Schizosaccharomyces pombe: one gene and its partners. Changing the gene in region 2 together with the main gene of any one other region gives a genetic interaction. Each region holds a gene or a part of one and is shown on either strand. Other genes may lie near its edges.

What was found. Genes that interact genetically often act in the same process or in processes that back each other up.
Region 1: mutations in pnk1 (region 2) and apn2 are lethal when combined (synthetic lethality), as found in Schizosaccharomyces pombe (2 studies listed by BioGRID, with this or other methods).
Region 3: mutations in pnk1 (region 2) and sum2 together harm fitness more than expected from each alone (negative genetic interaction), as found in Schizosaccharomyces pombe (2 studies listed by BioGRID).

The regions. Positions count from the first base shown.
Region 1 is NC_003423.3:1,285,457-1,290,625, forward strand, and holds apn2 (AP-endonuclease Apn2), read left to right. Parts: upstream 1-1,932; 5' UTR 1,933-1,949; coding exon 1,950-2,742; exon of another isoform or gene 2,743-2,779; coding exon 2,780-3,558; 3' UTR 3,559-3,694; coding exon of another isoform or gene 3,695-4,504; 3' UTR 4,505-4,638; downstream 4,639-5,169. Other genes in the region: DNA polymerase epsilon subunit Dpb4, read left to right, coding at 687-859, 992-1,110, 1,149-1,489; SUMO-targeted ubiquitin-protein ligase E3 Slx8, read right to left, coding at 3,695-4,504; U3 snoRNA associated protein Dip2, read left to right, coding at 5,108-5,169. UniProt on the Schizosaccharomyces pombe protein: DNA repair enzyme that cleaves apurinic/apyrimidinic (AP) sites and removes 3'-blocking groups present at single strand breaks of damaged DNA. Provides the majority of the AP-endonuclease (APE) activity. Repairs phleomycin D1-induced DNA damage.
Region 2 is NC_003424.3:2,135,483-2,141,381, forward strand, and holds pnk1 (DNA kinase/phosphatase Pnk1), read right to left. Parts: upstream 3,986-5,899; 5' UTR 3,957-3,985; coding exon 3,416-3,956; exon of another isoform or gene 3,393-3,415; intron 3,363-3,392; coding exon 2,967-3,362; intron 2,928-2,966; coding exon 2,785-2,927; intron 2,729-2,784; coding exon 2,582-2,728; 3' UTR 2,460-2,581; coding exon of another isoform or gene 663-2,459; 3' UTR 552-662; downstream 1-551. Other genes in the region: rps23 (40S ribosomal protein uS12), read right to left, coding at 1-306; mpp10 (U3 snoRNP-associated protein Mpp1), read left to right, coding at 663-2,459; ipp1 (inorganic pyrophosphatase), read left to right, coding at 5,047-5,899. UniProt on the Schizosaccharomyces pombe protein: Catalyzes the phosphorylation of DNA at 5'-hydroxyl termini and can dephosphorylate its 3'-phosphate termini. Has a role in the repair of breaks in single-stranded DNA.
Region 3 is NC_003423.3:265,452-269,939, reverse strand, and holds sum2 (translation initiation inhibitor), read right to left. Parts: upstream 2,485-4,488; 5' UTR 2,451-2,484; coding exon 2,398-2,450; exon of another isoform or gene 2,360-2,397; coding exon 2,301-2,359; exon of another isoform or gene 2,263-2,300; coding exon 2,081-2,262; exon of another isoform or gene 1,973-2,080; coding exon 986-1,972; 3' UTR 532-985; downstream 1-531. Other genes in the region: SPOM_SPBC800.14C (uncharacterized protein), read left to right, coding at 1-233; trm6 (translation initiation factor eIF-3 gamma subunit Gcd10), read right to left, coding at 3,042-4,335, 4,472-4,488. UniProt on the Schizosaccharomyces pombe protein: Required for G2/M phase checkpoint control.

The sequences.
Region 1 (5,169 bases), on a different chromosome or scaffold from region 2:
AGATTGTAAAAAGGGAATCTAATTATACTCAAGCTACCTAACAATTTTTCAGCATCATAAGCGGATTAGTTCATTGAAAGGCTCAACATTTTGCGAAGAACAGAAATAAATAATTTGATGATTTTTATCAATTCCAAAATCGAACTTGTAAAAATGTTGCCAATCCCATTTGTAATATCCCTATTCTGAGCTATTTCGACTGAGAAGAGATTGCCTATTATTCTCTTAGAACGTTCATTGAACGTTTTTGGAGTGTTCTGAAAAAAGATAATAAATTTAGTTGTTTTTATCTATTAATTACAATCAAAAATCGAGCCTTTAATAATGTATTGTATGGTTATCAAAAAGCTTTATTTATTTCTAACAACGCTAAAAAACTTTTTTTTTTACTCATTTAATATAAACAAAACAGTACAACTATTTAGTTTTAAGAAATTTGATAGCATTTCTACAAATGTTTCAACTCTAAGGCTCTCTCGGATTCTGCTCATAACGCACAGATAGTGTTTAGTGAAAATTGACAGAAATAGGCGACTCAGTGAATTTATTATACATTAATTAGCTAAAAAGAAGCAACCGCCTTTCTCTGTGATTATCGTTTGGTGACCATAGGATGATATTTGGATTGGATTTATAAAAGACTTGTATACAGCGTTTGTAAAAGATCTAGCGGCTGGAAAATCAATATGAATCAAGATAAATCGAAAGAAACTTCCGAATTGGATGATCTGGCGCTTCCTCGATCGATCATTATGCGATTAGTCAAAGGTGTCTTACCTGAAAAGAGTCTTGTACAAAAAGAAGCTCTCAAGGCTATGATCAATTCAGCAACTCTTTTTGTTAGTTTTCTAACATCCGCGTATGTAATCTATATAACTATATAACCATATTGAAGGGCTTGTATGATGAAAGAATTTATTATATAATTGCCAATTTTATTTTCTTCTGGAAACACTTTGTATATGAATGAATAAAGACTAACGTTACTTAGTTCTGGGGAAATTGCTACGAATAATAACAGAAAAATTCTTATGCCTCAAGACGTTTTGAATGCGCTCGATGAAATTGAGTATCCAGAATTCTCTAAAACGTTAAAAAAACATCTCGAAGGTATGTTTCTTACTCTGTACTTCTTCTAACTATTAAAGCATATGAGCTTGCCTTGAAAGAAAAACGATTGAAACTCCCTAACGTATCAGATGTTGATAACAGAAAGAAAGCCAAAATAGACGCGCATGACACTACTCCTCTAGATGAAGAAAAAGACGAATTAGAAGAAGAACGAATTGCGGAGGATATAGCACAAAATGAAGTTGAGCAAAATATTGATGATGTGGAGGACCTCGAAGAAGTGAATGATACATTAGACGCAAACGCAGAATCTCCTCAAATAGAAACCATTCATCTTACAGATGCTACGGGAAACCCAATTGAAGATAGCTCTGAATCCGACTCAGAAGAATCTCTTCAACTTAATGATTCTTCGTAATTACTGTTGGTTAAATGTATATGAAGATTGTCAATAGTCCTAACTTACATGGAGAGCTAATCATATTTTTTTACACGAAAAACTAAACCTTCTTTATTTTTTAATGGATTTTTTGGATACCTGTTAATACCCCAATTTACATCCTTGTATCCAAACATAGCTTTTTTAAACAGCAGTTTGAGATAATGTCTTTCTAGCACAACATGTATACTCGTTTAATGACATATATTTAGAAAGAATCATTAGATTGTTTACAGTTGTAACTCAATATTAGTCAATCTAGAATTTTTTTGAAAATCAACATTCAATAGGGAGAAGGTCGAAAAGAAAAGAAAAAGTTCATTCTCGAATTAAACAAATGCATTTTATTTTCCATCAGATTAACTTATGTCAACAATTGTAAATTCAAAAGTCTGTCGCCTTTACCTTCGCACACTTTCTCTACGTAAAAATTATAAGAATGCGAATTCTAAGTTGGAATGTGAACGGTATACAGAATCCATTCAATTATTTTCCATGGAATAAAAAAAATTCCTACAAAGAGATATTTCAAGAGTTACAGGCTGATGTAATATGTGTTCAAGAATTGAAAATGCAGAAAGACAGCTTTCCTCAACAATATGCAGTTGTTGAGGGATTCGACAGTTATTTTACATTTCCTAAGATCAGAAAAGGCTATAGTGGGGTTGGATTTTATGTAAAAAAAGATGTTGCTATTCCAGTGAAAGCAGAAGAGGGAATTACTGGCATCCTGCCAGTACGAGGACAAAAATATTCATATTCAGAAGCACCGGAGCATGAAAAGATAGGATTTTTCCCAAAAGACATTGACAGAAAAACTGCTAATTGGATTGATAGTGAAGGAAGGTGTATATTATTAGATTTTCAGATGTTCATCCTAATCGGTGTTTACTGTCCAGTAAACTCTGGAGAAAATAGACTAGAATATCGACGGGCCTTTTATAAAGCCTTACGAGAAAGAATTGAAAGATTGATAAAGGAAGGAAATCGAAAAATCATTCTCGTTGGGGATGTGAATATTTTGTGTAATCCTATTGACACTGCTGATCAAAAAGACATTATTCGAGAGAGTCTTATTCCAAGCATCATGGAATCAAGACAATGGATACGTGATTTATTACTACCAAGCAGGTTGGGACTACTGTTGGACATTGGCCGTATTCAACATCCTACTCGGAAAGGAATGTTTACATGTTGGAATACAAGACTTAATACAAGGCCCACAAATTATGGTAAGTTCTGAATTGTTATTTTTTTTACAATGGATAGGTACGAGAATTGATTACACTTTGGCAACACCCGATTTATTACCTTGGGTTCAAGATGCAGATATTATGGCTGAGGTCATGGGTTCAGATCATTGCCCCGTATATTTAGATTTAAAAGAAGAATATGAAGGAAAAAAGTTGTCCAACTTTCTAAGTCACTCAAAAGAACCACCTTTACTATCAACGGCGCATCATTCAGCCTATCGGCCATCAAAAAATATTCATTCAATGTTCCAACATTTCAATTCGATGAAAAAGAATAAAAACAACTCACCCACTCAGAGCGAAAACGTATCTGCTTCTGCGTCCAGCGGCTCCTCACCAACTGTTTCTCGTGCAAACTCTGTCATAGACGTCGATGCCTACCCACCGGAAAAGAGAAGACGAAAAGAACAATCGAAGCTTCTTTCATTTTTTGCGAAGCAAAAGGAAGAGAAAGAAGAAACCAATAAAACAGAAGACGTTTCGATTGAGGTCCTTGATAACAATAATGAATCTGACATAGGGTTGACAGTAAAAAAAAAAGTAGAAAACGGGAACGCCTGGAAGCAAATATTCAGTGAACGAGCTCCTCCACTTTGTGAGGGTCACAAGGAACCTTGCAAGTATTTGACAGTGAGGAAGCCGGGAATCAATTACGGGCGGAAGTTTTGGATTTGTGCCAGACCGGTTGGTGAACTGATTAAAAACTCAAATGCAGTTTCTGAGGAAGATACTCAACCGTTCCAATGCAGGTTCTTTATCTGGGACTCAGATTGGAGAGCAAATTCAAAGGACTGAAAATTTGTAATGACTAGCATAACTTGCTCTTAATCAATTCTCAATTTTGATGTGTATAAACCGCAAAAAGCATTGAGCAGTGCATCACACATCTTTCATTAACATTCTTAATATGTATATACGGAATTTTGTACGGTTAAGATTTCTTTTTTTGAGATCCGAGCATCATTTCCAAACATATAACTTTGTTTGGATGTACTTTTCTTCTGCACACCGGACATTTTTGTGTGGCAGCCGTTGTACCTAAAGCACTTAGTATACAAAAATTGCAAAATATATGCCCACAGGGAGTACAAGATAGGTTTTCCGGACTATCCAGACAAATTACACACTTATAATCAGCTAGTCGTTGTGAAGATGGAACAACCTGTTTTTTGCTAGGTTCTTCTTTTTCAATTTCGGCGTTGGTGGTCGATGGGTTCTTTCCCTGTTCAAATTTTTGTTTTCTTGGATCATAGGAAGTCTCATCAGTTAAATCAATCATATCGCTTATAGTAGTAGGTTGCGCGTGAATACTATTAACATTTGTTAAACTGTTTTCAACGGAAGCTGGATGATTGTTGTAGGTGAATCTTTGATTTATGTCATCAGCATCATTCTGAAAATTAATGTCTTCCAAGTCGAATACTTCACTTTCCACATCTATGTTTAAATCAGAGGTTTCAACAGGTAGTGTTTCTTCTTGTGCTAGCTCCGAAGCAACCTCTCTTAGCGACCTTGGTGCACGATTCAGTGGTAAAGACTCATTCTCAGAGGTAGTGCCTGAAGGATAGTCTGTTGCATCTTCTGAAACCGGAAATCCGTTTCCTGGCGAATTCTCTACTGGAGAAGAACGTCTCCTATTTATTGCTGCATTTCCAGCTGCGACTCTAGCGGATTGAGATGGGATATTGTATGGTGCAGATAAGTTTCTAACGTTGGTATCTCTCTTATGTGCGGGTGGCATTTTTTTGCCAATTGGTCCTGAAATTCGAAAATAGTTTATAGATTATTGATTAATGGGCTAATATTAGGATAATTTTGATCGTATCCTAATCGATTGTCAAATGCTTTTCAGGCTTGCTAGAATAATAAAAGAGAATTGTGTTAACGTCAATATACGCAAACAGCAATTATTTTGGCAACTTGCCAACAAGTTTAAAATTAAATTTAGTAGACCTATGATTTTTGAAGTCTACATGGAAAAATTGGCTCACTACCACAATGTTGTAAGATGCTAGTCTAATTAATATTTATGACCTTTTTCATGAGCACATTCAATAGCGCAAGCGGTATTTCAAATAAGAAAAGAGAACAGAAAAGCTGGTAAAACTTAATTGTGTATCAATAATCTTTTCAATGCAGTTCATTAAACTGCGCAACCGACATTATTATGAGTATTCCATAAACTATGCAAAAATGTATTATGGAGTGCATTAAGGAATGCTAAAATAAAAAAACGATAACAATGTATATCGCTATTTCTTTTCCAAATTGTTGAATATTAGAGGAGTGTATATACTTAGCATCAACCAACGCCTTTTTTTTAATCTAGGTCTGGGTAGACGCAATGGTCAAAAGCTATACGCGGTACGAACCAACCGAATTTTTTGGTGTCATTGCGTCTTCGGG
Region 2 (5,899 bases):
AAGAAGAACTTCGTCGTTTTCATCAACGAAGTTGAGACAACCATCGTGGGGAACGAAAGCGGTAACTTTCTTACCATTCTTGATCAACTGAACACGAACACATTTACGAATAGCAGAGTTAGGTTGCTTAGCTTCTACACCAATCTTTTCGACAACGATACCCTTAGCATGAGACGATCCACCGAAAGGTGATGACTTGTAAGCGGTTCCCAATAAGCGCTTCTTGTAATGAGCATCGGCCCAACGCTCCTCACGGCGATGATTGCGAAGCTTACGAGCGGCGTTCAATCCTGCGGGTTTTCCCATTTTGTAGTATAGAGGTTGCGGCGAACTGTGTGTTGGATTTAGGTGAACTTAGCTTTATGTCCAAAACAGTCACAAACCCTACCCTTCTTATATAATATAGTACGCAACGCTTCACTAAGTAAATTGTTGATGCCCATACTTACTAAAATTTTACTACATTACAAAAAAGAAAAAACATCTAAAACAAAAAACATACGTCTTTTTGATTATTTTGGAAAAAGGAGTTGCAAGTACTTTGCAAAAGGTTTGGTGTGTAATATTTAAGCTCAATTGGTATTTATTTGTTTCGTACTTGGAATACTTCCAAGATATTTAGTCAAAGTTTTGTGAGATTTAAAAAAAAAAAAAGATTTGATATGACTGAACTTATAAATTCCGAGCCAACACTCTTTTTGTTCCCGAATAAAGAGGATTCAAAGCAATTGGTTGAAAAAGCTATTGAGGTTTTCTCAAATATAAAAATCCCATCTACAAGTCCCATCCAAACAATTGTCACAAAAGGATTAGATAATTGGCAAATATATAACCAACTAGCATTAGCTGCCAAGTATGCATTAGATGATCTCCCTCAAGTTGATGTTGAAAACGAAGACGAAGAAGAAGATAGCATTACTTCTTTCCAGGATGAGGATGATGAAACAAGTCATCAGGAACTCTCTGACAATAGTGAAATGAACAATCGGGATGATGCTGATGATGAATTTTTAGGGTTCTCTGGTCCAGAAAATCTAGAAGATGTCGACGAAAGTTCTGCCGAAGATGTTTCAGGAGATGAAGCTGAAATTATGAATGAAGAAGGACAACAAATCGAACAGAAAAAAGACGCATTTGGACTTAATGATGGTTTTTTTGATATTGATAATTTTAACAAGCAAACCTTAGCTTTAGAAGAGGAAGCAGTCGAAGAGGGTGTCCTCGGCGATGAAGATGACGGTATTGACTTGTTAATGGATCCCGATGAGAATATGGAAGACTCTGAAGATGAATCAAATGGTCCTCAGGCTGACTCCATTATGTACGAAGATTTTTTTGGTCCAAAAACAGCGGCCGGTCGCCGTGAACTAAAAAAGAAAAAGGCCGAATCCAAAAGAAAAAGAACAAGTAAACCGGATTTCAAAAATGATGTGCAACAAAATGTTATTGAAGAAAATAATGAGAGCTCTGACAATGAGTATGCTACCTTTGATCGAGTGAAGAAAGATTTATTTGCTAGTGACGAAGAAGACGATGTTTCAGCTGATCAATTATCTTCTTATGAGCGCGATAAAGCCCGTTTGACTCAGCAAATTCGTGAGCTCGAGGCTGAAAACGTTGCCAAGAAGTCCTGGACCATGATGGGGGAGGCAACGTCTAAAGGACGACCTTCTAATTCACTGTTAGACGTTGATTTGGAATTTGAAACTGGTGCTAAACCTGTCCCTGTACAAACGGAAGAGACTACTGAGACATTAGAAGATTTAATTAAAAACCGAATTATTTCCAAAACATTTGATGATGTACCTAAACGCGCGCCAGTTGCTGTTACTGAATTTCGACCAAGCGAATTATTCGAGTTAAACGAAAATAAGTCTCAGCGTTCTTTAGCAGAAGAATATGAAGAAGAATTCCTTAAAAAGAGCAACGCCGACACATATAAGAGTGAAGCTGATAAAAAGAAAGAAAAAGAACATGAAGAAATCAAGGCATTGTTTTCGGAAGTCAGCCGCACTTTAGATTCTCTTGCTTCTTGGCATTATGTTCCCCCTCCTCCTGAGTCTACTGTTGAAATTGTTTCTAATGCACCCACTTTAGCAATGGAGGACGTTCAGCCAACTGCTGCCTCTGACACTATGGCATTGGCTCCTCAAGAAGTTTATAAACCGTCTAATGAGAATCGTGAAGGTGAAACTATTACTCGGTCAGGTATCGCCATTTCATCGACTGAAATGGACCACCAACAAAAGCAAGCACGCCGCAGGCGGGTGCGTAGAAAACATGCTGAGAAACGTAAGCAAATGGCTGAGAAAAGAAGGAATTCCGGTACTGAACAAGTCGTTCGTCAATTATCAAAATCGAATGTTGAGGTCATTGGTAAAGGAGGTGAGCGCAAAAAGGTTGCAAGTAATTCAAACAAATATCATCCGATTGTTTCTTCAAATCAGCTAAAGCTTTGAAGATAAATTTCGGTGTTAAGTGTGCTAGTCATAATTTTTATAAACGTTTGGTTTTAGTGGGATCAATAACTATATATTTTTGAAATTAATGCAATTTAATAATTTCTTAGATATCATTCGTATTATTCGTACCAATAATTCCATGTATCTTCATAGTCTTTAAGGCATTTAAAAGGAACTTCTTCAACATTTGTAAAACCTTCTTCTACTGTTGGCATTTGAAAACGAGATTTGAAAGAATTAAACGCTATCTCGGGAAGTTGTTTTTGCTAGAATTGGTTAGGAATTCTTCTAAGTCTTTCTAATGCTCCAACAGGTAACTTACGTTATGGTGAATGTAACGGAAAACGTTGTTGTGTCTGGCAAGTTCCTCAGATGACTGAAGATGAATGCAGCGTATAGGGATCTCAAATTCTTGGGCTATGTCAATCCACATTTTTCGTGATTCTATTGTAGGGTTTGTGTTGTCTGAAATCGCGTAAGTCGTTGAAATGATCGAGTACATACCTATGACAACCGATTTTTCTTTTTTAAGTGCCTCTATGGCAGCCTTGATGCATTTTGATTTCGTTTTTAAGATGTCTTGATTTACCCTTTCGTATCCTTGAGTGACAATCTGAGATTCAGCTAAAGTACTCTTCCCAGAAGAAGGAAACCCAACTAAAACAACAATTTCTTGATGCTCGGATTTTTTAAAATGGTATGGATGTGAAGAAGAATTTCTTACAAGGTAATTCTTTGGATGAAATGATTCAAAGTTTGGAGGCACAAATGAATGCCCCAAGAAAAATTGCTCGGGCGTCTCAAATTTAATCCCAATGTTTTCAGCAAACTTTAAATCAGTTGAATTATGATCACCCGGACGGCCTGCAGCATCACCTACGTATTTGATGAAAGATAAATCTAAAGGGTGAAAAATGTTAATAGGCCTTGATAAATTACAAGCGTCAACTCACCAATTGAACGGTTCACGTCTTTTAAAAAGGAATTCCACATTCCTGTCAATGGTTTTCTAAACTTATCTTTCAAGATGGCAGCATACAATACAATAGGTAGATCTAATGACTCAAAAATAGCACGAATCTTCATCTGAAAGGTATGTCCGGCAGAAGGTTTTCTTGGAATTCCGTTTTGATTACTGAAAATAACAAGAGAATAATTGTCTTGGTATAAAGCCTTCAATTTTGGGACAACGCTTGGATGCCACCAGGTCCAGTCAGCTGCATCTTTTGAAAATACTCTACCAGATTTAGTTTTTATGAGCGTTCCATCTAAATCAAATGCAATAAATTTTTTAGTCTTTTTTAGTTTTCCATACTTTGCTATGTATAATGAATCGGTGATGCTCCATTGAATTTCTATTTTCTGTTGAAGGCATGTCGAGGATGAATCAGAATCTTTGTTTTGAGAGCCGTACTTTTTTGAGGATTTAGACGATTTTTCAAAATATGAAGTTAAAGATTCCTGGGGGGGAGACTTTCTTTTTTTCGACGACATCGCGATTGACGAAATACTAAATGGGACTTGGTAATTGAGTTAGCTATATTATAATTGCATAGCAATGAAAATGGGTGGTTTCAATAACATACTTAAAAATGGATAACAGATGAAAATTTTATTTTTCGCTCTATTGAATTTTCAATTGTTTTTGATCAATTACATAAAATGCCTCATATACAACAATTAGTGAGAAGATATATTATATCATATAGTCCTTAATCGAAGATTTAATATGTTTACTGACTTGAAAATAATTCTTATTCGAAGAAATTTAGACAATAAATAACAAGAAAATTCTTTAATTTATTCGTCTAATTTATTATTTGGCAACCATTCAAAGATTTCACAAATAACATATTTGAGACCTACATCTTATTCATTAACAATTGCATATCTCGTTATTTACGAACATTAGTTTTTTTTTTTTGGTATCGTTTAAAATTAAACCGTTTATTTTTAAACAAAAAATGAAGGACATCGGCAATATTTTGTTTTTATGTATGAGCTTTTTTTTGCATTATTTTTTCGTTTGTCATTTATCTTTTTTAGTAGCTGATCTGGAATTTAAAAACAAAAATTTCCATAATTAATTAATTTAAATATTTCGTATATTTTTATATAAACATTATGGCTTCTACTGCATCAGCCAAGAATTTACTGATCGCAAAATCAGTATTCCACAAGATCCATATCGACAGAAAAGAAACCTGCATACAAGGCTAATAAATATCTTTGATTGTGTTTAATATAAAAAATTGATAAATTCTCGTAAAACAATTTAATTTTAATAATTTATTTGTGCTAAATTTTTATCATGTTGTGGAAATCTCCTTTACTATCAATCATTTAATAAAGTATTGCTAAAGAAAGTAACTTTATAACAGTATTACCCTATGTAAGATTCACAAATCCATCTTTATGCTGTATAAAATAAAAACATGCGATATTAAAAATATAAACCTGTTCCTTAGAAAATTTTATAAATTAATATAAGATTTTTTGTATACATTGAGTTACAAATTTTGTAGCAGATGTTGCGAATTAGTGCACATTGCAACCTGTACTTAACCAAAAACACTTTTCAGTCATGAGTGAATACACTACCCGTGAAGTTGGCGCTTTGAACACATTGGACTACCAAGTCTATGTTGAGAAAAATGGTACTCCTATCTCTTCTTGGCACGATATCCCCTTGTATGCCAATGCTGAGAAGACCATCTTGAACATGGTCGTTGAGATCCCTCGTTGGACTCAGGCTAAGCTTGAAATTACCAAGGAAGCTACCTTGAACCCTATCAAGCAAGATACTAAGAAGGGTAAGCTTCGTTTCGTTCGTAACTGCTTTCCTCACCACGGTTACATTTGGAACTACGGTGCTTTTCCTCAAACCTATGAGGATCCTAATGTTGTTCATCCTGAAACCAAGGCCAAGGGTGATAGCGATCCTCTCGATGTTTGTGAGATCGGTGAAGCTCGTGGCTACACCGGCCAAGTCAAGCAAGTTAAGGTCTTGGGTGTTATGGCCCTTCTTGACGAGGGTGAGACTGACTGGAAGGTTATTGTCATCGACGTTAATGACCCTTTAGCTCCTAAGCTTAATGATATTGAGGATGTTGAACGTCATATGCCTGGCTTAATCCGTGCTACTAACGAGTGGTTCCGCATTTACAAGATCCCCGATGGCAAGCCTGAAAATTCCTTTGCTTTCAGTGGTGAATGCAAGAACCGTAAGTATGCTGAAGAAGTTGTTCGTGAGTGCAATGAAGCTTGGGAGCGCCTTATTACCGGTAAGACTGATGCCAAGTCTGACTTTTCTTTGGTCAATGTTTCAGTCACTGGATCTGTTGCCAATGACCCTTCCGTTTCCAGCACTATTCCTCCTGCTCAAGAGCTCGCTCCTGCTCCTGTTGATCCCAGCGTTCACAAATGGTTCTACATTT
Region 3 (4,488 bases), on a different chromosome or scaffold from region 2:
TGTATGCTATATCGGCTTTATCTGGACTATGTATTATTCCTTTCACGCTTTTGTTTATGAAAAAGGACATTAACTCTTTACAAACGTTAAATCCAGATCTAATACTTAAAGATGTAAAGGCTACTCAAAATTTCCGCAGTATAATTCACAGATGGGGTTTTAAAAACTTATTTCGAAGCGCATTTATGTTTTTCTCTGGTTTAGCTTCAATCGCTGGATCAATTTACTTTTGATAACAAAACATAATTGTAATGTATCGTTTACGTGTTAACTCTTGCGTTCCGATATTCGTTGATGATCAAATAATATTAAGTTCTAATTTTTCTACTGCTGATTATTAAAACACTATATCACGTAGTTAAGTTCGTGAAATTTAAACTATTAAAAAATGCTAAAATTAAGAGAGCACATTTTTATTTTTAAAACGATTCGCTTATAAATTGTTCATACTGCTCAAACATTGTTGTTTGGATTCTATAGTTTGTCAGCTTCAAACAAGTCGACTGAATCAAATTTTTACAAAACGCTTTTCAAAAACGAAACGACTGTTGAAAAACACGGGTTGTTCAATGTTCAGTCATGCAACCAGCGATGCTTTGGGTCTATCAAGGTGTATAAAAGAATAAACATTAGCGGATTGGTTAAGTCTTCAACCTTTTGGTAATTATATGTAACCCATTAACATTTATTCGTAATACCTTTACGAAATCTCGGTATAGGATATCGTTTCAATGCTTGTTCTTCTTGCGTAATACATGAGCAGATAAGTATAGTTTTTAAAGCACTCTACAAGAACTTAACAAAACTCCTAAGTTAAATATCAAATAACAACGACTAATCCTTTTGGTTTATATAAGAGAACACCTTTTTTCGGGTCGTTAAATACATGTCCATAAATTTTGAGTTCATCATGATTGAAACGAAGACGAAGCTCAATCTAGAGAAACGAGGATACTTCATCTGTACTCATTATAAGAAATGCAGTTCATTGGTCGTTTGCAGGCTGGGCTCTAGGTTGAGAGCCATTGGAATTCCTGTATTGGTTATATTGATTTCTTGCATATCCACGTCCACGACCTCTACCACCACGTCCACGACCACGTCCACGACGGCCGCGATTTCCAGAGCCAGCAACGCCAAATGTCTCCATGTTCAAAGAACGTTCGCGATCTCGTAGAGCTCTTCTATCTGCAGCTTCCATACCCTTCTCTTTACTTTCACAACTAATATTATCAAAAAAAGATTGCTTAGGCTTGTAAAATTCTTCGGCTTCTTCATCATTTTTTCCTTTTAACAAATCATCTTTCATCGATTGAAACTTTTGATTTGCAGTTTGAAAGTCAAATTCGGTACGAGGCTTTGCAGCACTAGCATCAGGTTGAGTTGTAGGAACTTCTTTAGAAGGTCCAGATGTTTCAACGGTTTGGGATTGAGAGACATCCACAGTAGTATTCACAACACGGTCATTTGTGACAGTGGAATTCCGTATACTAGTACTTTCTTTTTCAATAGATGCTTCAATGGAGGGCTGTGCACCTGGTATCACTCCATTCGTGGGCGGCATGGATTGAAGAGACGGAGATGCAGATACCGCGGTAGGACCAGGAGCAGGCATGCCCGGAGCAAAGTTGGGAGGCTTCTGGTTTGAAGGCATTCCGTATCCAGGACGTACGTTGTACGGGGCCTGACCGGCAAACCCTTGAGAAACATTTTGAGCAAACTCAGGACGTTGACCCATTTGCTGTTGATCAGGTGCCCCATAATACGGGACCGCAGGTGTGGATGCGTCTAAGGGAGTACCCAAAGGCAAACCTCCAGGAGGTACAAATTGAGCGGGAGCATTCGGGTACATATAGTAAGGTGCACCTGCTGGAGGAGCCTGTTGGTATGGAGCTCCATAAGGGTTAGGTTGAACAGGCTGAGGAGGTTGGGCAGTCTGCGCTTGGTTCCAATTATACTGCCCGCTATTAGACTAATTATAGTTAAAATCATGATCTTGTCAGATATATAAAGAGTGCCAAAGATAATTAATACTAGATATACTAATGAGAATCTCCACCACTCTTTAGACGTAACATACCCCAATAATTGCAGGATCATTAGGAGGTTGAACCGGGGGAGCAGAAGGAGTAGTAGCAGGTTCCTCAATCCGTAAATCTTTAACATCGCTTCCACGAAAAACAATGTAATCAAATACATTATCTGATGGGGGGATTTCTTGAGAGGGATCTTGTTTTCTTCCTTCAGTACCACACCAACGGACTAAACTGTTAGTAATCAATGCTGGGTACTCAACCTACCATGCTTCAAAGCCAGTGTTGAGTCCTGGGAATTGATGTCCTGCAAAATGCCCACATAACTAAATATTAGTAAAGGAAAGATAATGCTCTCACGTACCGAATGTCAGATTTGCTAATTAGACTAATACGAGAACCAATAAATTCAGTCATTGGTTATAAACTCGACGAAGTAAAGCTTAGTGGTGAAAGGAGCGTGGTTAGGTGTCCTTTCGAAATTAACGAACTTGGCGATAGCGCTAGTATGGGGTTCATTATACCGAGTAAATAAGACCAAAATGCGACATTGTCATTTATAAGCTGTTTTTTCATCAGTTTTTATATTTATTTAAAATTAACATGCTTAAGATCAAAAAGGCTATCCACAGCTGCTCTGACCATGTACTACTTATTTTACTTAAATACGTATATGTGCAGCAGTCAAATTGTAACTAATTTTATACTTATTACAAGTAATCTATTTTTAAAAAGAATGAAAATGCCAAGCAAAAGACACTGTACTTTAACGCTCTTCAAAATTGAGTTAACCTGAAACCGCACCGTCAATTACATTATCCAACTAACATATTCATTTTCTGATACGTATGAAAATTTTAAGTTAAAGAATGAAACAAAAAACTTTTTAATATAACAAAAACCTTTTCCCAATTCAACGTAACTGAGTTTATGTCCAAAATTGTAACTCCCCTTGTTGATCTAATAGAGTAGCCTTGAAAAAAATATTCCAAAAGTAATATTTCATATCTAATTTTCCAATTTTGCTTTTTTGACAGAAGAAGTTTCTTTCTGGCCCTTACGTTTTGGAAACCTTCCGGCAGCTAGATTGCTGTCAGAAGTTAACACCTTGATCCCAGATAAAACGAAACCCATATCACCCCTAACAGTCATGAATGGATGAGTCCTTTCTGGCAAGACTTGGTAAGGTCGTGTACGAATCTCATGAATATCCAGCATGATGACTTTCTCTTTCTGTGTATCAATAGCAACGTCTCCTTGATCAACCTTTTCGTCATTTTCAGTACTTTGAGCTGTCTTTTCTACAAATAAGTTATCCCATTTAGATAATTGATGATACGTCTCGACTAAGACTTGCTGATATGTTGAGTATACCATGAAAGGACGTGATATACCGAGCTTTGGAAGAAGATGTTGAAGAACAGACATTGGGGTGTGAATAGATAGTATAAAGAGAGCATCATAGTTACCACTTTCAAAATCATCAATAGTATTCTTCAAACGGTTAAATGTAGCTTTCTTCGTTTCATAGCGCTTACGGTGGCGAAGTTTCATCTCATTCAACTCTGATTCAGGAATATCTTCAACCGAATACTCACTTAAAGTCTCGGTTGGATTCGTAACTTGATACCAATTCAAAGTTTTCAAAATCCCTTTTTGAACCAAACTATCCTCTTTAAAGTCTTGCCCCCAATACTCTAAACAAGAGCTATTAGGTTGCTCATTTGGATGGACCAGGGTTATTTTGCAATCACCAGCAACACGGTCAATAAGAGAACCAAGGAACATGCATCCAGTCTCATCAACTACCAAATATCTACCCCCAGGTTTAACATTTCCAAGAGTAAGCATCAAGCTTATACACTCGGCAGTAAGATCAAGTATCTTATACGGATCATGTTCAATCATGTAATTAGCCACAACTTCAACACAAGGTCGTAAAACCTGAAAGCGTTGAAGATACTTTTCCCCTTTTCTCGTAACATATTTCTCCTGAGCAAATAAAGTTTTTTGCTCAAAAGTTTTACTACTATTAGTCAACTGTTTGATGGCCTCTTCAGCACGAAGTCCACCAGCTTTAATGTTTGCGCGCAGTTCATCAATCTCCTCTTGAGTCATAAGCTGATTGCCTCGACAATCATTAAGTTCTTGATTCGTTTTCTTTTCTTCCTCGATATACTGTACCTCCCTTGTTTTTAAAACTCGAATTTTTTTGGGTTGATAAATTTCAAAAGTTTCGTCAAAATGCTTTCCAAACAAATCATCAGCGAGAAATGAACCAAATTTTCCGAGGTGAATTGTACTATTTAATATAAAGTCAGTAAGATCAATATGAACGAGATAAACTAGATCACCTCTATCTCCTTATGCAAAAAACAATTTCAATTGCTATCATTGAAAATGTACTTTAAATTGTAAATTAAGATCCTCATACTTACTTGTTTGGTTTCAATGT